Styela clava: one gene and its partners. The protein of the gene in region 3 purifies or fractionates together with the protein of the main gene of each other region. This does not show direct contact. Links are inferred from orthologs where the notes say so. Each region holds a gene or a part of one and is shown on either strand. Other genes may lie near its edges.

The links. The genes of interacting proteins can lie anywhere in the genome.
Region 1: the proteins of cullin-3-A-like (region 3) and BTB/POZ domain-containing protein KCTD5-like purify together in Drosophila melanogaster (affinity purification with western blotting; 4 studies listed by BioGRID, with this or other methods). This does not show direct contact. The link is inferred for Styela clava from reciprocal best matches to the Drosophila melanogaster genes Cul3 and inc.
Region 2: the proteins of cullin-3-A-like (region 3) and kelch-like protein 3 purify together in Drosophila melanogaster (affinity purification with western blotting; 3 studies listed by BioGRID). This does not show direct contact. The link is inferred for Styela clava from reciprocal best matches to the Drosophila melanogaster genes Cul3 and kel.

Annotation. Positions count from the first base shown.
Region 1 is NC_135260.1:12,395,887-12,402,749, reverse strand, and holds the start of BTB/POZ domain-containing protein KCTD5-like, read left to right. Parts: upstream 1-3,860; 5' UTR 3,861-3,908; coding exon 3,909-4,277; intron 4,278-5,412; coding exon 5,413-5,521; intron 5,522-5,983; coding exon 5,984-6,075; intron 6,076-6,863.
Region 2 is NC_135253.1:23,206,201-23,214,003, reverse strand, and holds the start of kelch-like protein 3, read right to left. Parts: upstream 3,004-7,803; 5' UTR 2,888-3,003; coding exon 2,314-2,887; intron 1,809-2,313; coding exon 1,679-1,808; intron 1-1,678. UniProt on the Drosophila melanogaster protein: Component of ring canals that regulates the flow of cytoplasm between cells. May be involved in the regulation of cytoplasm flow from nurse cells to the oocyte during oogenesis. Binds actin.
Region 3 is NC_135256.1:22,950,236-22,957,632, forward strand, and holds the start of cullin-3-A-like, read left to right. Parts: upstream 1-4,372; 5' UTR 4,373-4,455; coding exon 4,456-4,512; intron 4,513-4,574; exon of another isoform or gene 4,575-5,461; coding exon of another isoform or gene 5,462-5,497; intron 5,498-5,674; coding exon 5,675-5,872; intron 5,873-7,397. Other genes in the region: uncharacterized protein LOC120328661, read left to right, coding at 1-784; uncharacterized protein LOC144425210, read left to right, coding at 843-1,502.

The DNA of each region.
Region 1 (6,863 bases), on a different chromosome or scaffold from region 3:
TCACATCACATTTTCGTTGGGTGTTATTTGAGCCGTTACGGTACCGTACTCCTGGTAATTAAAAGCGCTATAACTTTCACATCACAATTTACAGATTTAGTTAGGTGTTATTTAATCAGTTACGGCGACATAGTTCAGGAGTTACTTTCAGACTTTAGTCGTTTTCAGTCAGTTCTGCTGTTTGAATCTGTTCACAACACTGTTCGGCTTAACTTATTGTATAACATTGTCAGAACGCCAGCCCACACTCGTGTGACGCTAGCCCACACTTGTGTGACGCCAGCCCACACTCGGCCATATTAGGGGTATTTGGGCCGTGCTTGGTATTGTATTTGCGTTGGATATATCGGGTTTGGTCTATATATTATCACAGTAACCAAGTTTTTATTAACTAACTCCTCCTAACTCCTTGCCTATATTCGACTAACCCGTTGACCGCAGGCTGAGTGTGGGCTGGGGCAAAGCGTATATATAATATAAGCGAGGCAACGCTCAGACAATGGACGCCATCTTGTGCCTATTGTTCTCGGCAACTTAACAGGGCGCCTTATGAGAAGTTCCAACACAATTATTGAAACATACCTATTATTTTCACTAATATTATAGGTAAAAAAAATTTAAAGGTGGCGTTTTGAAGTAGAATCTTAGCCGAACATGCTTATATCCTTTCATGTTGGCCAAATTACATTTATAGTACATTAAATTGTCTTTGAAGACAAGTATACCGGTTCCGAGTTGCCTCCGAAGTAAATTGGCTATTCTAATCGTCATAATTAACTATTTGACAATGGCGTTCCTTATGACGTCACAGATGAAAAGTTGTATTTATTCGTCGAAATTACTGGCCGACCCAACTCTGCTTCAATGGCCGTTTCTATTTTCTGGTTAACATTTTTCATCTGTCAAGCTCCATAATGCCTTACTGCTCGGCTCCAAGCTGCGCTAGAAGAACAAATGACATTTTAGGATTGTTGCGGAGACATTTTACTGCCTCAAATTAGCGTATCACTATAAAATCTTCGAAAAAAGGACCAAAAATGGTTCTACGCTGTGTTTGGGGTCAAATTTAACGCATTAGATAGTTTTTTATTCTTAATTGCAATATATATTTAAATAGCATATATCTTAAAGTTCAAAATCCACCCTTCAGTTTCATTCTAGCCCTTATAACAGCGGACTTATTCGATTCGGTACAACAACACAACGAAAATTTCCCATAAGACTCCATTGTTTCGCGTTTCCCAAATATGGCATAAGATGGCTTCCATGAACTTGTTTAACATTAGGCAGGTTGGTTGCCGGCCGTTGGGCTGGGGTAACTCTGGTGGCCTGCCAGTATGCAGTACCTGCAGTATATACAAAATTATCGTAGCGGCTGAGCAGTAACATTAACTGATACATGGATTTTGTAATATTGGAATCTTTCAACATGTTTAAAAGAATTGCTGGTACCATATTCATCAGTATTGCTGTAACCATATCATTGGATCTTACTATTTTTACTCTAAATTTTACTGACGTTGCTCATATAGCAGTAGCAGTGTAGTTCAGTAGTACGGTATGTTACCGATCAAACATGTATTCCACAGTGACACAGGATTCAATATTCTATTTATAATTTATGACGTATAGAGAAATTTTTACAATTCTTGGACGAGACTTTTAGGCAATGCTGTCAAGCTGTGGAGTCGAAAAGAAAACTTAATTTTAATTACCACATTAACGGTACTATATATGAACCATTGCATAAACGACTTCGAGTGAATGGCAATTTTGAGTTCAAATCTTTATTCTTGACTCAGGGTTGGAGGAAATTTTAACTCTAGCTCAGTAGCTTCTAACTCCAGAAAACCAAATTTTGACCATAAAAACTTTGTCATATGCAACAGTTCTTCAATTGCCTGTTGAAAATGCTTAGTAAACCCATTGCTTTTTTTATTCTATCCAAAATTTTGATGTAAGTCACGACCCATAGGAAACACTGATTTACTGGGCACTTTATAGGTTTTCAAATAGCTAGAAAGTGTTGGTTTGATTGCTGATAGCATTTACAAACTAAAAACTTTTAATCACAAAATATTTTCTGTAGTCTGATTTCAGTTAACTAAGACATATACATATGCTATAATTTTATCATGTTTGAGTAACTTATTGATTATAGTCTTATCTAACTGAACAAATCTATATTGACCTTTATGGCTTAATATGATATACATTGCAGTGATAAAATTCTGTCTAAATTTGGTCTTTTTTAACCTTAATTAACCCATTGAACTTTTTACAATCAATGACGTTTCATAGCTTTAATTAATGAAGAATAGCTTTAATTAATGAAGAGTTACATCATTTTGATGTAATTATGAACTGAATGATTATTGTGCACGACCTAATTATAAATAACTCTCCTCTACTGCTACCTCGTCACAAAGTTATAGTGTCAATTTGTTAGCTGGTAACAATACATTTCTGTTGTGACAATTAATCAAACATGGCATTGTTCGTTTTTTTATACTTGTTTGCAGGTTTAATGTATGACAGGTAATTAATATGTGATTGATTTTTGTAGACTTTATGTTAGAAATCAAATTATTCCTCGCCATCACCAAGTCATAGATGGATTTAATCTAGCCTCTGTCTAAACTCTGGCTGAATGAATATTGAAATTCCTGTTTTTTAAATAGGTCTCAGGCTTGAAAATGTAGTGCAGTGGGAATGTGGTAAGAATATCTTATCAGGTCAATTTGAGGAAAGACAAACCGGGAACAAATTGTTTTGATATTTATGGCCAGTTGAAAGGTTTTCTTTAAATTAAATCAGATGTGTTTGGCTTGTCTAGCCGGTTTCTCAAGCCAGTCCTTTGTCGCCGCTTGGGCGCATAGAGCAGTAGTCTGCTGGCCATGAGCTGAGTGCCATTTACAATGACTATAATAATTTAAAGTGAATTGACTGTGAAATATGAATGTTCAATTTGTTGGCTGTAATGCTATTATCCTTCTGCCGGATTTTTAAATTTTAGATGTGGAGCATGAAATGACTGATTGAAAGTGTTAAAAGCAAAACTACCCAAGATTTTCTTATAGAATATAACAAAGTTACAGGTGTTGAGTCTTTATTAAAAGATGTTCCTGATTATAAAAAATTAAAATATTAGTTAATGAGTGAACATGTCTAAATAATTAATCTGTAATTTTATCCGTGTATGTCCAGCTCATTTTCATTAATATATTTCCTATATTCTTTGTTTTAAAGTGATTTTTTTAGATTTGTTACATAATGCGGGTATTTATATAAAAGTTCGAAAATAAGCTTTTAAATTCTAATTTCATGAAATTTTAAATCTATATATAAAATTTAGTGTCTCTTCTGCTTTAAATTATGTTTTATTTAACCTTATTCTAACCTGGGAATTATTTCATCGAGTGTAAAATAATAGTGTTATAATTCTGACATTTCATTATTTTTGTGGTGGAAGAGTCTGAATGATAGTAAGTCAATCTCTAAACATGAAATATTAAATTTTGCATAAAAGTTCATGTAATGACATTTGTATTATAAAGCATCTAAAGCTGTGGTTCTCTGAATTTCATGATTTATGCCCTTTCAATGATTGTCAACACTCTGTGGCCCATGTTCCTCAATGAAAAATATAAAATAAAGTTTTGTTTTTAGCGGGTTTCCATCAGGTATGCATGTATTTGAAAACCGTGCTTGTGGCCCCCTAGCGGCTCATTTTGAAAAATTGTGATCCAAAGTAAAGTAACATTGAAAATTAGCAAAATGAAATTAGTTTGGTTTATTAATCTGAATTTTGATACTACGACATCTTGATTTCTTGTTATCGCATAACTATATATCCTTACATCTTACAGTAAATTATATTGCATATTATCACTATAAAATCAATTAAAATGTCCAGTAGTAGTTTAAGTGAAGAACAAAATCGAATGGAAGAAGAATGTAGTAGTACCAATGGTACAAGCAGTTTATCTTCAGAAGCTAATGGTGTAGAATGTGCAAAAAAAATGAAATTGCCGGGAATGGCACCAGATCCACCTCCAGCTTCAGAAAGTATGATTTCATCTACAAGCAAATTGAGTGAAGGTACGGACTCTAGGTGCATCAATGGAATTATGACAAATGGAAATGGAAAAAGCAGATGGATTCGATTGAATGTCGGAGGAAAACATTTTGTCACAACTTTATCAACATTAAGCAAATATCCAAAATCTTTTCTCTACAGACTTTGTCAAGAGGATCCAGATATAGATTCTGATAAGGTTTGTTATATCATTTCCTTTTTTGATTGTAACAATCATGAATTGGATACTTGAAAACATTCAAAATTTATTATGTTCGATATTTTTGATATTTGAATAGGCTAGTTTTGATTTGGGCAGATTAGGTCTCCTAGTATAATTAGAAAGGCTTTTATTTAACTTCTATTGGCTGTAAAATAGAGTAGGCTACCAATCAAATCATTGATATCATAACTGTTCTGCACTTTCGTAATATTTATTATTTCTGCACTCCAAAAGTATTGTTTGGAGAGGTATTCGAAATGATAGATCGTTTGGTTTTTGCCATTATTCTAACTATTCCTTTGGAGTAAATGAAGTATATTAGATCATTCTGACTCCTGTACTAGAAGGTCAGTTTCACTTTATAAAATATTTATTTCAGTGGTTTGTGGGTCAAATTGATTACATATATTATATGATCCCATCCTTCGCTATTGCTGAATATTATTTCAGATAGAAATTATATCCTGTTATTCATAGAAAAAACTTCCATTTTATTCAGGTGGTTTATATTTCTTCACCTCTTCCGCAAGTGGTTTGCGGAATTGACTATCCTTTGTACATTCTGATACTTTATTCTAAATATGGAATGCCGAATATATATTCTAAAATATGTGATTTTGGTATAGTATTAGTGATTGATTTTTATAGTGGAAGTTTTGCAGGTTTTCTACAGTACAATACAGATATAGAATTAGCCTAGATTGGTCTGAAGTCGAACATCAATTTCTTAGAATAACTAATTGAAAATTATTATAATGTTCAAATATTTAAATTTATATATATATTCCATTCACTCAACATTTCAGCTCCATTTAAATCAGTATTGAAAAGATTGGACTATTTATTTTAAACTATTATTTTTGCCAGTTTATTGGTCAGCATTTCTAATGTATATTAATAAATCTTATTCATATGGGAATAGAGTATGTTATGTTTTTAAGAGTTCCCTGAGGAATATTTTACGAGATTTACCGATTGTAATGTATCCATTAGTCCACTTGACTTTCACAAGTCTGTCTCATTGTTTAATTTTTATGTAAAGCACCAGTATGCAAGGCAAATGAATACCCTTGTCAATGCTCAATTTAACATTAAACTCTTTTTTATTTAGGATGAAACAGGGGCATACTTGATTGACCGAGACCCGACCTATTTTGGTCCCGTCCTGAATTATTTACGACACGGAAAACTAGTGATCAATAAAGACCTTGCAGAGGAAGGTAGAGTACTATACGCATTTTTCTTCTCTCATATGCATACAAATATGTTATTTTTCATCTATAATACCTTTCCAGCTTTATGTAAAAACACCATCTGCAATGATCTTTAATTTATGGACTTCGATTCAACAATGGACACTCAGACTATTGCATTTTGAATAGGAATTGTATGAATCATATTTATGCTAAAATTTGAATACTAGAATTCATTTAGATATTGAGAGTTATTCAAAATATGGAAATAATCTTTATAATTGCATAACCATCTGTTTGATATGAGTATTTTTCATGCATGTGGTTAGGTTATTATACCTCTTGCAAATGTCCAATAGCATTGTCTTAATTTAATTTTATCGCTAAGTTTTGTATATTTTCAGCTCTAAATTGCCCAATAAAAATCTGGTATAACCAGCGATTCATATATGGACTTATCTCATTTTTGACTACTAAATTTTTTTATAGGTGTATTAGAAGAAGCAGAATTTTATAACATTGCTGAACTTATCAGACTCATTAAAGAAAGGATGATGGACAGGGATCTCAAAGTTGTCCAAGTAAATTTATTTCTATTTCGCTGTTGTGAATTATTTTCCATGATCAAGTCTCTAGATGGGCAGACACTTATATATGTAAGAAAATGCTTTGTTTTTCACTGGATCAGTATGGTATAGTGCGCTCCAGAAGTATGTGTACCAATATGGAGGTAACTAATTTTGTTTGCCTACTTTACATCAAGTTGTGTAAAGGGACTGAATCCTTGGGGCAGGGGGTGTATTCACTTGGCCAAAACAGACAGTCCAGAACTCGTAATAGAACTAAAATAAAGAAAATTGGAATAAAATTATGGCCTAACCTGGTACACGCACTACAAGAATACCGGGGATGGTACATAGCTACTACGGTCATTGAATTCAAACACAAAGTTTTATACCTCCGTTATAAACAGTTAAATCCAATGCTGTTACCAACCACTACACTTTCACAGATATAGTATAAACAAATAGAACATGTATTATACATTATAAACTATGGTATGTAATGTTACCTAACAAGTAACAATACTTTGTTTAGTTATAAAAATAGTCAAAAATTATGTTATATCAAATTGAGGTGGTAATCATGAAATTGCTACTCGGATAATGTGCAAGTGAGTCTGTGGGATAAAGTCAAATTACACATTTTAAAAATAAAGCATGATCCTAATTTGCCAGTTTGTTCTGCAAACAACATCGTGCTAAGCGTTAGCAATACGCTCGCTACCGCATCTCTGATTGGACTGCGTGGGTTCGCAACTTCCAATCCCATGCGGGGACAGTTATGAGCGAGAGGATTGCTGGACTCC
Region 2 (7,803 bases), on a different chromosome or scaffold from region 3:
ACCATATCGTCCGTAGAGGGCAACATAAAGCATAAAATTACACATTCATTTTGAATATTTATTTGACTCATATATGGTGAACACACAGCAGTACAAATCTACATATAAGAATGGTCAAAATTGAATTTTGAATACATTATGAAATATTATCTGTGGCTGTTTATGACAAATAAAAATAAATATTTTTCACAATGGGACGTATTTATAAAAACATATACAGAAATTGAATTTGATAATACTGAATATTGTCGATCCATGCGTTTCCGAAATAGGAAGGGATTTTGCATTGTATTTGTGTTACCAATATTTTTAGTTCTTTATTATTGCTATAATACCTGTTTATGCACACATATAAAAACTAAATAATTTCTGACCAACCGATTTCAAATACTTTAACTCTTTACTCTATAACTCAGCAATTTTATTCTCAAACTCGATCGATGCCAATTTGTGTTAATCATATCGAATAAATAACTAGTTGTTAGAAGGGGATCAGGGATTGGTCGAAGCCATTGCTTTTCTATTACAAATACATTCTGATATTTCATTTCCTGGGTATGAAATATCAAATATATCTGAAATATTGCACATCCCTTTATTTTTTACCTCATTTGGAACAAACTATTTGGAATTTGAAATGTTTGAAGGCTACAATACTGAAATTTGGGAATAATACCAACATTTCCACTCTCAAATACCTGATAGCTTCACAATACTCCACCAATTACATACCAAGTATGGGCCAAGTATGTATTGATAATTGCCTAAAAATCCAATATAATTGCATTCTCGACATGTTATTAGTTTATTGACTTCCCTGAGACAAGCACAAGACAAAATGTATCAATTACTAGACAGTAACGCCAGTAAATGTATTGAAATATTGATTGCTCGAACTCTGGGGAATTGTGCATATATATTGCAAAATATTTTGAATGTAAAATATGGTGAACGAATCTGCAGATAATATTACTCTCTAGCTGAAATGTCTAAACAACTGGTTCTCAAACAGTGGTTCATGGCCCACTTCTGGGCCATAGCAACATTTCCAAGTGGGGCACAAACCCGTTAAAAACTGCTAGAGTTATTGATAAATACCGTTTCATTTGCGTCACTATAGTTAAATTTTGATTGTAGCAGCAATGAATGCTGATGCTGTATTTCGCTACTGAGGGGTAATTTTCATTCTGATTAGTAAAGTGAAAGTATTTTCTTGAAAGTATTTATTTGTATTTTATCTTTTGCGTGATAAAATTTAATGGGCCACGAAATATTTGTGCAACAAAAATGGGCCACGAAAGAAGAAAGGTTGAGAACTACTGGTCGAAGCGGATAGCGGATATTTACGCGTTCAATAAAATATATTTTTGAATCTGATTAAAATTTTATTACAGCAAGTAACATCTGACCGAGACCAAAAAATTCTAAGGCGCACCCCACCTCACTTGGGGTGCAATAAATTTAAATAGATGACAGTGGCTCCTTGTATAGGACCTTGTTGGAAATGAGAGTCATGAATATGTGTAGTATAAAAAAAAAGTGCCTGCACTTCAAACAAACTAATTCAGATTATATTCAATATTCAAAATTAATGTTTTAGAATGAATTAGGAATTGTAAGCTATATTCGTCATCATGGCTAACAATAGCTAAAAAAACCTAAACTAATTTCAACTAACCTGTCTCCAATTCCACTCTTAACCCAGCTTATGACAGCTTCGAAAACTTTTTCCTCTGACGCCACGGACAAACGATCGCTGTTAATGAGATCGCATACTTGTTCGCAAGACAAATTGTGAAACTCTTCACCTGTGAATTCAAAAACAATTTATCAGGAAGGCCTAAAAGAAATCAAACATCAAAATCCATCTGAGATTAAGTATATTCAATAACAGTGGTTCTCAAACATTTTAAGCCGTGCCCCCCTTTTGTCAAGTCGCGCACCCCACCTCAAAAATAACTAGCTAACATTTAGCTGCAAATAAAAGATAGTAAGAAGAAAGTATGCTTTATTCACAAAAACATGTTGAAAATAAGTGGATGGAGCGTAAATAATGAAATAAATGAAACGTTTTTAGTATGTTTTCGCATGCTTTATCAAGATTTGGAAAGAATGCGGGATTTCCATTTTGAATTCTCTGAAATAAGGCCGGCAAGATCAAATCTAACAAATATTTTTTATTTAGCTTCACCTCCTCTCAAAAATTGTCTACGATCAACCCCCTTATGGGATGCACCACATCGTTTGAGAACCACTGTTCTACTTGGAGAATGACTCCCGACTCCTACCAAACACTTTCCACTATCAACTGACCGTGTACGACATCAGTGAAATGTTGTTCTGTGAACGACTTTGCTTGATCATGTAGATCAGTGCAAGCATGGATATCCGCAAACTGACGAATTCCAAGACAATTTGTGGGGTGTAATTGTGATTGGAGAAAGAAACAACATGACTCTCGAACGTAGGTTAGTTCCAATAAACTTGCAGCAGGAAGGAGATTCTGGACGTTTTCTTCTGTAATTTCAATTTGAGCAGTGTAGACATATTCCACAAGCTCTTTCAAAGCGTCACCATTTATTCCGTTTAATTTTACACGATCGGCTCGACACTCAGACATTTTTCCACCAAACATAGCCATAAAATAGGGAGAAACTGAAGCCATTATTAGTTTATGAACTGGGACTTCTGCTCCCTCGGCAACAAGAAGAACATCACACATAACCCGATTTTTGCGGAGTTGATTCATCAAAGAAAATGCTTCTTTCGAGTGCACATCATTATGAAATTGCTGCCCGTTACTCGGAACACGACCAGTGGCGTCGCAAACTGCTGCGGCTGTGCTTTCGCTGCACGATTCAAGCTCATTACCGAGGAAATTCATCATTTTGAACTTTGTTAAATTGATAAGTTGAATGGGAACAATATAATTTTGACTGAAAAAGGAACTGTGAAGAATCTATGTCTAAATTATTTTACCAAACTGTAGTTAAAAAATATTATTGATTATGAAGCTATAAATTAGTTCTCGATTCCAACAACCAGACAACTGAACAAGAGTCTTGTAAATTAAACGCTGTACAGCCGCAACTGCATACTGTAAATCATGCTAAACAAAAATGTGATGTGAAAATACAACCCAAATATCTGCTAAAAATGAAAAAAAAATATAAAAGTTTGTCTTGCGCAAACACATTACAATAAACGGCACTGACATACCTGCCTAGTTCTGTAGTTGAAAATTGAGTACCGGTAGGCTGCGAGGCTTGATTTGAAATAAAGGCTTTTTTCTTTCTTCGTCATAACGCTGTACCGGTACCGGCACAAACTTTTGTGGTAATTACATTAAAATGGCATGTCACATTTTAGTTTGGCATTGTTTGAGCAGTTACCGGTACGGCGTTCACTTCACTAAACCCCAGCCAGAACAATGCCCAGCCTGCCAGATGCCCCTGCAAGCTGCAACCCTGATATTTCACCAAAGTTACTCTAGCCCACAATTTCCCAGGGCTGACGGCTAACTCGCCATGGGGGCTAACTCGCCATGCGACGGCGGTTAACGGGTTAGCCTGCAATTGTGCGGAGGCTCTTCTTGTAATGGGAGATGGAAAGGTGGCTGTTTATACTAACAACTTCAATAATAAGGATAAATATATCAAAATAAATGTGTTTGGTTACAATACCTACTATGCAAATGGTAACAACGTGACAAGAAAACGCTTATATATCGGAAGGCATACCGGTACCGGTACCGTACGGTACCGGTACTCGACGCGCAAAGGATGTCTCAACTTATCATTTTCATCTAAGCATGCTAAATATATCATCATATTAATTGATTGTATGAGCACTAAATCAACAACAACGCTAAATATATCAAAAGTTCTATTTGGCTACCGGCAGTCTCATTTTATTCTAACAGCGGCGGTGTGGCTCAACGGGCTAAGCGTTAGGAATACGCTCGCCACCGCACCTCTAATTACTCTGCGTGGGTTCGCAGGTTCGAATCCCATGCAGGGATGGTTATGTGCGAGAGGATTGCTGGACTCCTCGCCGTCGTTGGGTGGTTCACGTAACCGCTGGTCGGTTACGGCTTCCTCCACCACCAAGTCCATGCTTCCGAAAAACAAACAATACAGTAAAAACTAATCCCATACCCGACTTGGAATGGTAACCGGACGAGAGGCCGTGGTTCGCCATATGGATAAGCCGTCTTATCGGCTTTCCTCTCCCCCGGGATAAATATGTAAATCCTATCCTATCCTATCCTAACAGTCGTTGATTGCGAGCAGAGAGGGAGAGAGAGAGCTAACTCGCCATGTCTATTTTCTTTATAATTGACGATCGACATAAATTTATCCAATGACATTAAACAACATGATGGGCAACTCTGACGTCACTCCATACGACTACAGGCTAAAGATTGTATTTCATGATACGCTCCAATGCACATAGTTATCGTCTCCTTTCGCGACCGTTTTCCGTTCGCTTTTGCTACCTGGCGCCTTTTTTACCTGTAGTATCTGCCTTCTTGCGTCTGTGACGAAAGAAAATAATCATTATATCTAAGAAGTTTTGCTCACTTGGAAAGCTGGAATGGCAGACAAGCTAGCTGTAAAGAGTAATTCTGGACATCATAGACGTTTTTTTTTTATCAGAGAAGATTACAAACACGATACTGTAAAGATTTGTGTGGAACATTTTGCAGATAATGACAAAGTTCAAAGATAGTAATTTTAATGTTTGCGCTTAAACATTGAAATTTCATTTAAAGAGGGTGTCATACAAAACAGCAAAACTGTTTTTACTTCTTTTAACGGTGCTGTGATACAATTCCATAACACAGAGTTTGCACCTATCGAACTTGCTTTAGTTGGTGAATTTATTAGACATATTACATATTCAGTTAATCGTGGGTAACATTGCTGGTACATAATGCCCCGTAGATTGGTTTGTTTAAATTTAGGAATTTATCTCATAGCCCACTATTTAATATTATCTTCTATGCAGGAGGTTCAGGGCTGATTCAACTTTCAGCCTTACCGATCACCTGACGATGCTCATTTAGTTTGGCTCGAGTAAGTCTTCTTGAAAGACTTGTGTGGATGGAAACTACCTATATATGTTTTGCCTTCCTCCGATTTTAGAAGACAAATTTATTCTGGGGGATTTTGCATATAATTCTCATTGATTGTTGGCTGTTTATAATTCCTATTAATTGTGAATTCTGATTATAACAAAGAGTTAAAAAAAATTTCACGTAATTTACTGGCACCTTTTTCTTGTCAATACTCAAAGCTGAGGTAATAAACAAGACAATACATTTATGTCATCTGGAAACTAAATATGCACACTAATTAATAGTTTGACACATTGAGATAATACATCATGACAGAACATACAAGTTGAAGATATGTATGACCATCACATGGTAATTGAAATAAAATTAATAGGGGCTGTGGAGTATAAAAGCTCAAAACAAAGAAAAGAACAAAAGTTCATAGCTCATGAACTCTCAATTTTGCCTCCATTGCTTTGTGAAGGCCAATATATTTCGAGTGGCTGAATTGGTTTACCTTTATGATAGCAACGATTTTGTATTTAATATAGCGAGATTTTTTTCAATTTAATTGAAGTGATATTATTTCCCAAAGCAATGCTTGAATCGTCTGGAATAGATCAGTGGTGTCAAACTCATTGATTTTTGAGAGCCGCATTGCATTTTGGAAATTGTAAAAAGGGCCGCAAACAGTTTTTGATAATGTATAATTGAAAGATATTTTTAAGATAGTTTTAGTTTGTGACATATATTGTGATGCAACTAAACAGTTGGATTAAGTTTTATTATTTTCTTTAATTTCAAATGCAATTACATATTAATATTTGCATTCCACTATTATTGCAAGTTAATGTATTTGTTATAAAAAATCCTAAAATTCTATGTACAACCATCAAAATCATTTTTGAACAAGCTTTGGATAAGAAAAAAATAATACATACACTAAAAATGACTTAATCTAAATATATGGACCTAAAATTAAAAATAATACTACAGTATAAATTCAATGTTTTTTTAATTGCATTTGCCCTGACGTTTGGCAGCTTTTTTGTGTCACCAGCATATTAAGGCCAGGCTGAAATGATTTTATAGTTCCAACTCTAACTAACGAGGTCACATGATCATGGGTTAATCTGGATCTTTGCGAATGTTTAATTAATTCCAGTAATGCAAAAAAGTTACTTTTATCATTTCATGTACAGATCAGTAAAAAAACAAATGACAGATTTTTTCGACAAGACATTTCGCGCCACATTGCGTGGCATAGGATTGCTTGAATTATTATTGATATTGATTTTTAGTAACTAGAACGTTGTATAATTATATTAAAATATATACAAACACATGGAAATTTTCTGTTCGAAGTTGGTCTTTGAATTTGTCATATTGACTGCTGAGGTTATTGTGTTTTTTCATTGTATTGATGGAAATATGACAAATTAAACAATGTGCTTCAGAATTTTGTGAAATGCAGAAATATTGCAACTCCCATTTTCTTCGAAAATGCCACCTTCTTCATGTACTTTGCGTTTAATTTAATTACTCAAGTGTTTTATTCAAGTATTCTTTTGCTAGCTTGATGTGTATTCTTAATTGGGCCAAAATGTTAACAAAAAATAAATTAATTGTTCAAAACTACTTTCAGTAAATTGTTTTCTGTGTGAATAATCAATTTTACTTTGAAAGGTTTGAAAAATCTATTACAGTTAGATAAAAAAAAAACTTCCAAAATACCATTACAATTATTGTTAAGCGTTCGAGGGCCGCAGTGGAAGTTCTCTGGGGCCGCGAGTTTGACATCCCTGGTCTAGATTGAAGTTGTCTAAAATATATATAACAGTATTTTATCATGAATCATGTTTTTCCCCTTACCTGAATTTCTTCTATAGTACTACATAAAGTTGATGAACCAAAGAACCATTTTCCAAAGCTGTTTTAAGTATGTCTGGCGTGTTTTGTGCCTTTTTACAAATAAGATCGCTTATGCAATCTTACACTTTGGAATTTTTAGTTATTTTCCTCAAGCTTTTCAGGATGTGGGGGCCATACACAACTCTACTAGAGGGTCAAATGTCTTTGCATGCCTCCATAGGTTGTTCTTCTATTGCAAACATTTATGGAGTACTCCAATTATATTTCTTGGAATCACACCGTCACTGATATCGCCAGACTTCTGATATCTCCCCTTCTGCTATAGTTGTCCTGTGAATAAATAATAGGAAATTGAGATTAGACGAATAGTTGAAAGTTTTGCTTTATGTCGGCTTAATTTATTGATTGATATACTTACTATTTTTGCTATTGCCTCTTGTGCTGCAGGAGTCTCACAATGCTTAGACAGGTTCGTCCACAACTTTCACATCTGAAGAAAGAGAGGAGATTTATTAATTTTCGTTAAGAATAAATAAAGCAGTCTATATGATTTAGAATGGAAAAGCTAATATATTCAATATCTCATGATTTATGTAAATATGTTTTACTGAATTTGGTATATAAACCAACTAATAAAGGGGTTTAGTCAGAAACTTACAAGCATTCGTGGCTCCAAATAATTGAGAGATCAGATTATACAATATAGACCGGTATGAGTGGAATTTTAGGTGAACTTGTTAATCCTTTGATTCAATACGCAAATAAAAGTGAATGCGCAATAGTATGTTACACCAATGAGTATATATCCTGACTGATTAAAAAAATCTAAATGGAGGTGCATGAACTATTTGGAACCATAAGGGTTAGGTAAA
Region 3 (7,397 bases):
TTTAGCGGATAATTTTTCTTCAAGGCAAGACTTGCTAAGAGCGACAGCTTGGATGAAGGGTGCATTTCAGCAAAAATCATTTGTCAATTTGGAATTTAAACCTGCCGATGTCGTACAATACATAGAGAAAGCAAAATTATGTATATTCAGAATTTGTCAAAAATCTATGATTGATGAATTTGGGAAGGATGTCAAAACTCTATGGAAATTAAACTTGTTATTCGATTCTCACGGAATTCTTCGTATTGGTGGAAGACTGAATAGAACTGATTTATATATGGAAATGAAGCATCCAGTCGTACTTCCGGGCAAACATTCCCTCGTTCGTCTTCTTGGAGTGTTCTATCATAAAAAGTTCTTACATCAAGGGTATCGAGTTATATTGGCAAATATGAAGAATGACGGTATTGTTCTTATTGGTGGAAGAATACTTTTAAAATCAATAGCATCAATGTGTATATTTTGCAGAATTCGTCGTAGAAAGTTGCTACAGCAAAGCATGGGAGAACTTCCTTCATTTCGAATGCAACCACAGATGGCACCATTCAATTCTGTAGCAATGGATTTTTTCGGATACTTGAAAGTAAAGCAATCTCGAAATGTAGTTATCAACGCGTCTGTTTTAATTATTACATGTGCAACCACTTGTTGTATTCATCTGGAACTGTGTCTGGCTCTGGATACTAATTCGTTCCTTCGGGCATGGAGACGATTTGTATCTATATATAAGGGGAATTCATCCTGCATTTGTATTTTCCGACGGAGGTACTACATTTCAAGCTAGTCAAGCGCCTATCAAGGAATAGATCGAGAAATGGAATTTTCAGTTGATTCAACATGAGATGGCAGAGAATCAAACGAAATTTGATTGGAAATATAATGTGCCTTACGCGTCACATATGAATGGAGTAGTAGAATCGCTTATCAACTCGGTTCGCAAAGCACTCGATGCACCAGTGGTGAATTACAGCAGGGCTCTTATGACCTACGAAGAATGGACAACTGTTCTCAACGAAATTACTTATATCATCAATAGTCGACCACTTTTCCCAGATGGAAACCCTTTGGAATATAATTGTATTACTGGCAATACTCTTTTACATCCATATGCAAAGCAGATAGTCCCTCAAACTACACAAGAAGAGAGATTCAATCCACGAGACATGCTAAAAGTGGCGGAAAACAGAGTTGAGGTGTTCTGGAAAACATGGATGAAACACATACCGCCTCAGCTATTACTTGCTAACAAATGGTTTCGAACAAGACGCAATCTTCAAGTTGGAGATTACGTATCAATTCTTCAACCTGGATTTAAAGGCGGAAGTGCACCCAGAGGTTTATGGAAAAAAGCACTGGTTCACAACATTATGCCCAGTTCAGATGGCTTAGTGAGAAGTGTTACAATCAAAGACAGCGATGGGAATTTATACAATCGACCAATACATAAACTTTGTCTAATTGCGACCAAAGAAGAGCTACAATGTGAGTTGAAAGGCATCTAATCTCATATCAGTTACTCCGAGTCAACAATGTTCAATATTTTCGTCTTTTTCATTGCATTCATAGACTGGGGGGGTGGTTTGAACATTTGACTGATTTATCTTGGTACTACTTACTTTTGGTGTGTTTACGTATGGTTCACTGCATCGCGATTATTAGCTGATTACTTGATTACTTCTTGTTATGGTTAACTGTCTAGAGCTTTAGTCTGTCTTTAGATCTGTTCTCATAAGCTTGTTAATGGTGCTATAGTCATTGGATATGAATAATCTATTTCTTAAGTTTCTTACATTGGGATAATCTGTTCTGACAAAGCCTCATTTAAATGTAAGTGAATTGGTATATTCTTGCTTTGTATTGTGCCTGATTGTCTGTACTCATTTTAATATTCATCTTTATTGTTTGTCAGATCACTTTGTCTTACTGATATCTGGATTAAATCACTTTGGGAGAAATCTATTCGTTTCATTTCGGGATATTAGTTAAAGAGACATAGTAGGCAAGGGTGATTTGTCAATGGGCAGAAATCCAAAATACTAGTTTCTTCCCATTCAATTGATTGTTCTTCTATTTTGTTTTGCAATCTGCATTCAATCAGTTCTATAGTAAAGTATATCGTGTAACATTCCATTCCATGTAATATTCCAGAACACAGAAAAACGCAGAACGTCACACGATGATTTTCAAGGCAATAATCTGTTAGAGAACCAAGTCGAGCTTGACGGCGAATTCAGCACCGGGACCAAATTTCCGGAGTTGCACGGGGTTGGTCAGATAGCTACAAATATTACTCATATAATATTATTTATTCAAATAGTTCATTGGCCTCCCCTCAGATTAAAGGACTGCTCGTGCAAAGCTCAAACTCACATGATACCGACCAAGGATTGTGGGAATTGCCAGGAGATGCAACAGCGGGATCCTCAATCATGAGACATTTCTTTTTAGACACAGCAAAAATGTACTGTACCGTAATTTTTGACATGTTTATTGATCTTGGGAGCCATCCAATGGATGAACGGTACATCTCTATCTCAGTTCATTTCATGATATCAGCTGACGCTCCTTCGTTCCACTCGAAGTTTGGTTCCACTGTTCCGTATTCTATTATTTGCGCCGTTCGGTGTCATACCGGTACCGTAACTGCAGAACTGCTCAAGCCTAAACCTGTAGGCAACAATCCGTTACCGTACCCACGTACCGCACCTACCGTTTAGAGGACGAACTTTAATTTTTTAACTGCCGGTACCGTACCGGTACCAGGAGCAAAATCTGAAAATGTTAATCCAAGTCCGTGCTTCCGAAAAACAAACAATATAACTAATCCCATGCCCGACTTGGAATGGTAACCGGACGAGAGGCCGTGGTTCGCCATATGGATAAGCCGTCTTATCGGCTTTTCTCTCCCCCGGGATAAATATGTAAATCCTATCTTATCCTAATACAGTAATAATGTCAGAATATCCTAATCGGTCTGTTACAAAGATACGGTACCACAGTACCGTACCGGTACGTCTGTAAGTCATTAGTCTATGTCTAGCTAGATCAAGAATAGGATTTCTTATCCAGATGGTGACTACCAGTATCATCACCGGCAGACCGGACTGTTAGCTACATTTACATTATGGCTGACTTGAGCCCTTTTAGTGTTTGTTACCATAACGGTACCGGTACAGTACCCTGGTTTTGGTACCGGTACTGCACTATCACAAGAGTACCGGTACGGTCTGACGGTATTTCAGTCTGTCCATGGACTCTACTAGGCTATAAAATGCAGAAATAAGTGTAAAAGTCTGAATACGCCACTGCACTAGTCGTTCATAATTTCTGAATTTAGGCAGTGTGCAGCCATAATGCCCCCGGGATAAATATGTAAATCCTATCCTAATGTTCAATAACAGAATAACTTAATTAATAATTGCAACTGGGAAAATTGAATAGATTTTGTTCACACAATCAATCAATTACCATATACAGATATACTTTTATACTGTTTTATGAAGTCTCAACATAAAACCGCAATGTTCTTTGCAACAATTACCGGTACGATATGTCCAATACCAGATGAGTGACTTGTGTTTGATCACACAATCAAACACTCGCCATATTCCCTTCTACTGTTCTATGAAATCTCAGCGAAAATAGATCAAAAACAGCAAAGATCGAAATTTACAGCATAAAATAAAATATAAAAACCACAAATACTCTGAAAATTTGCCAACGAAGGAACATTTTTATAAAAAGCTCAAGTTTCAGATAACTCTGTAACTTGGTATCGTAGTATTAGAAAAATAAAGAGATATTGAGCTCAATCCTGTGATATTTTATTTATTCCCCCCACGGTTTTGTCTTCCTATGAATAAGGAAGAGTTGTTTGAGTTCAATTTTTTCATCAATCTGCCAATGGTTTTATGGTCAATATAATTTTTGAAGTGAACATTTCTGCATTTTGATATCTGTTAACATCATTACAGCCTTATGAAGTGTGTCAAAAATGCTTCAATTCTGCTTTTTGAAACAAAGCATTGGAATCTGTTGATCTTTTTTAAGAAACAAAATCGAAAACGCAATGCTAAAACTTTTCAATTGAATGTAGTTAATATATTCATTAACATAACAAGGAAATTGATTTGTGGTAACATATTGGCGCTGATATATCATATGGCTGATCTATGGTGTGAATATTACAGTATTAAGGTGTTAGCATGATATTAGTTAAGTGAAGTTGACAATCAATTGGCTATGAGAGCCGAATATGGAGGTAACATTTTTCACTGACTTATTTGTCAGTTGGGAGTCCACACAATGTATGGGGATATGATAAAATTGAAAAAAAAAATGCTAATAAAATTTTTTTAATATATTAGAATGTCTACTGTTAGACCAGTCAGTTGAAAATTTTATCATCCAAGAGACTAGTAATCATCAGATTTGTAAAATAAGAAGACAGCCATCATGAATTCACGACTTCAAACGAAAAAAGACTCAAAAATGAGGATTCGGGCTTTTCCGGTTAGTATTCTGAATGAACAACTGCTCTGGTACTAGTTGTTTTTATCTTGATAATGTCTAGGTTAGTCGATCATTAGTAGCCTGATCTTCTATGAGAATTCTATAAATAAGTTCACAGTTACAACACATTTAAATTCAATGAATTATGTTAACTTGCTTTGACTGCACACACCACAAAAGCAACCGTAGCTTTATATTATTCATTTTTTTGATAAGATAAATATTTAGCAACGATTATATTTCACCATTTGCATAAATATCAAGAATTTTGCCCGTGGTATAAAATTTATAGCATTTTTATTAGCATTGTATTTTAAAAGTAGTTAAGTGATTTACGTACCAACTCTTTTCTGAAATTTATTTGTAATACTGTCTGATTTCAAACTGATTTATTGTGTAACAAAGTAAATACATTTTAAACTCAAGGAGGGCTGGATTTTATGGTGATAAACCCCAGAAAAAAAATACAATTTTTGCTCCATAATTCATACTCAAATTCAGATTTGCTACTTATGCAGATATGCCATTCGATTAAGTATGGTCATAGCCAACATGCTATTTTTTATATGCAAATTTTGTCTAAATCATTTATTCTAAGCCAAGGTGAGACAAAATGACTCTGTTACATTTTTTTAACTTTGTATATAAAATAGCAGTATTTAGATTTTGGGATCATATTTTTAAGCCATGTGACTTCATCTTGGAATTACTATTATGACATCACAAGACTACCCAGCAACCAAATTTTTACAATAACATTGGGATTGGGATGCACATTAGGGAAGATTTTATCCATAATTGGATGCGTTGGACAGGTTTTGACACTGTTTTCAGTGCTGTAAATGTGGATCCACTTGAAAAACTTAGAGAAATGGAAGCTTAACTGACCTTTGTAACAGTTTGTTACTTTGAGAAAAATGTATAATTTGATTAACAGTATAGGCTAAGGATGGAAACTATTTTTTCTATCCATTTTAACTTCCGAGTGAGTATGATATTGGAATTTTATATAATAGCCTATATGATATTTAATTGAACAGGTCTACTGGAAATCTTTACTAATTTTTGGTATCACTGTATAGGCAAATTTTAATCTGTGTTAAGACTATACAGAATTTTTTGAATATGATTTTATTGCTGAGCGTAGAAACTTTTTTATCAGATGACTATGGATGAAAAGTATGTTGCCAATATTTGGGAACTGCTCAAAAATGCGATTCAAGAAATTCAAAAGAAAAATAACAGCGGGCTCAGTTTTGAGGAGTTATACAGAAATGCCTATACTATGGTTCTGCACAAATATGGTGAAAAATTATACAATGGGCTAAGAGAAGTTGTTACGGAACATTTAACACAAAAGGTATTGTATGTTTTCAGTTTTTTGCAACTAATAATCTGTATCAGATTTTTCCCATTTTTTTCAATTAAGAAATAACTGTTCTTGGAATATTCGCCACAGGAAATTTCGCCGTAGGAAATCTCACTGCAGGAAATTTCGCCGCATGGGAAAAATTGCCGCATGATAAATCGCCGCGAGAGCATTTTGCTATAAAACAAGTATTTGTGATAAAACGGTTAGGTTTTTGAAGTATTCTTATTTTAAAAAGATTCTTTATTTAAGAGCATAACCTAACCCTATAAATCTAACTGTTTTTATCACAATTACTTGTTTTACGGCAAAATGCTCTTGCAGCGTTTTTTCATGCTATCACCAGGGCTGTCCAAAATCGAATAAGTTTTTGATTCGAATCGAATATTTTCGCCGAATCGAACCGAATAATCGAATATTATTGCGCAATCCTAAATCTGTCTTTATTATACAATAAACGCCTGCCCTTCGATGTTGTGGTGACGTATGTGCAGTTACATCTTACTTACTGCTGGTATTTTGCAATACAATGTTTTCAGATTTATGAAAGGAGATCACACGCTTGTATGAACTGGTCAAAAAAATTTGAGGACTCAAAAATTTGGGTCTCGAAAACTGTTGAGTGTTAAGGGTAAAAATTGCAATCTCAATTCTAATGGATTCAGTTTTATTAGGACATGTAAAGCCTGTAGATGCTATTTTAATCCTATTCACATAATAACAACCATTAATATAGATAAAGCTGTTGATCAAATTCAAAATTGCATTTAACAAATTCGAAGCTAGTTTGATGACTTTAATATTGTTAGTGTAAAACAGCCATCAAAAATCAAGAGTGCAATTATTTGTCTTGGTGTATTGATGAATAATACAGTATTGCCATCATAAGAAATTACAAATTCCATTGAAATAAGGTATTGCCATCATAAGGGTCCCAAAACACCTGTTTCAGCTTTGAGTTGCCTGTACCAAGTTCCTATGATAACTAACTTAACAGCTTCATATCGATTCTATTCATAGAACTATCATTTTCTAAATTGCCTTTTTCTCCTTGTTCTCTCTCAAAAAAACGTCATTACCGATAACTTTTAAGTTATGGTGACCATGCATGAAATGGCTAATCATGTGCCACCGGGCGGGCATTAGGAATGACATGTTTATCACAAAATGAAGGCAAAAGAAATAGAGAGAAATATCCGGAAACCAATTAAGCCAGGAGCGAGAGTGGTCTAAACTCAATGTGCCGCCGCTTGCCCGATGAAAAGAAGTCCTGCAAAGGTGGTTTCCGCTTTATGTACCTAATCTTAGCGATTCGAAAACGAGAATATCGGCTGGAAACCGAAGACTTATCGATAGTTAGGGGATCCCCCAAAACAGAAACTGCAGTTTCGATTCATCCGCTCTTGTAACTTGCGCACTGCGCATCGCACACACACACACTGGGCCGGTTCTCAAAATTCTCTTGCTTTACAAAAATCTAGATCACTATATCAATAATTGATTGATAACTCGCTAA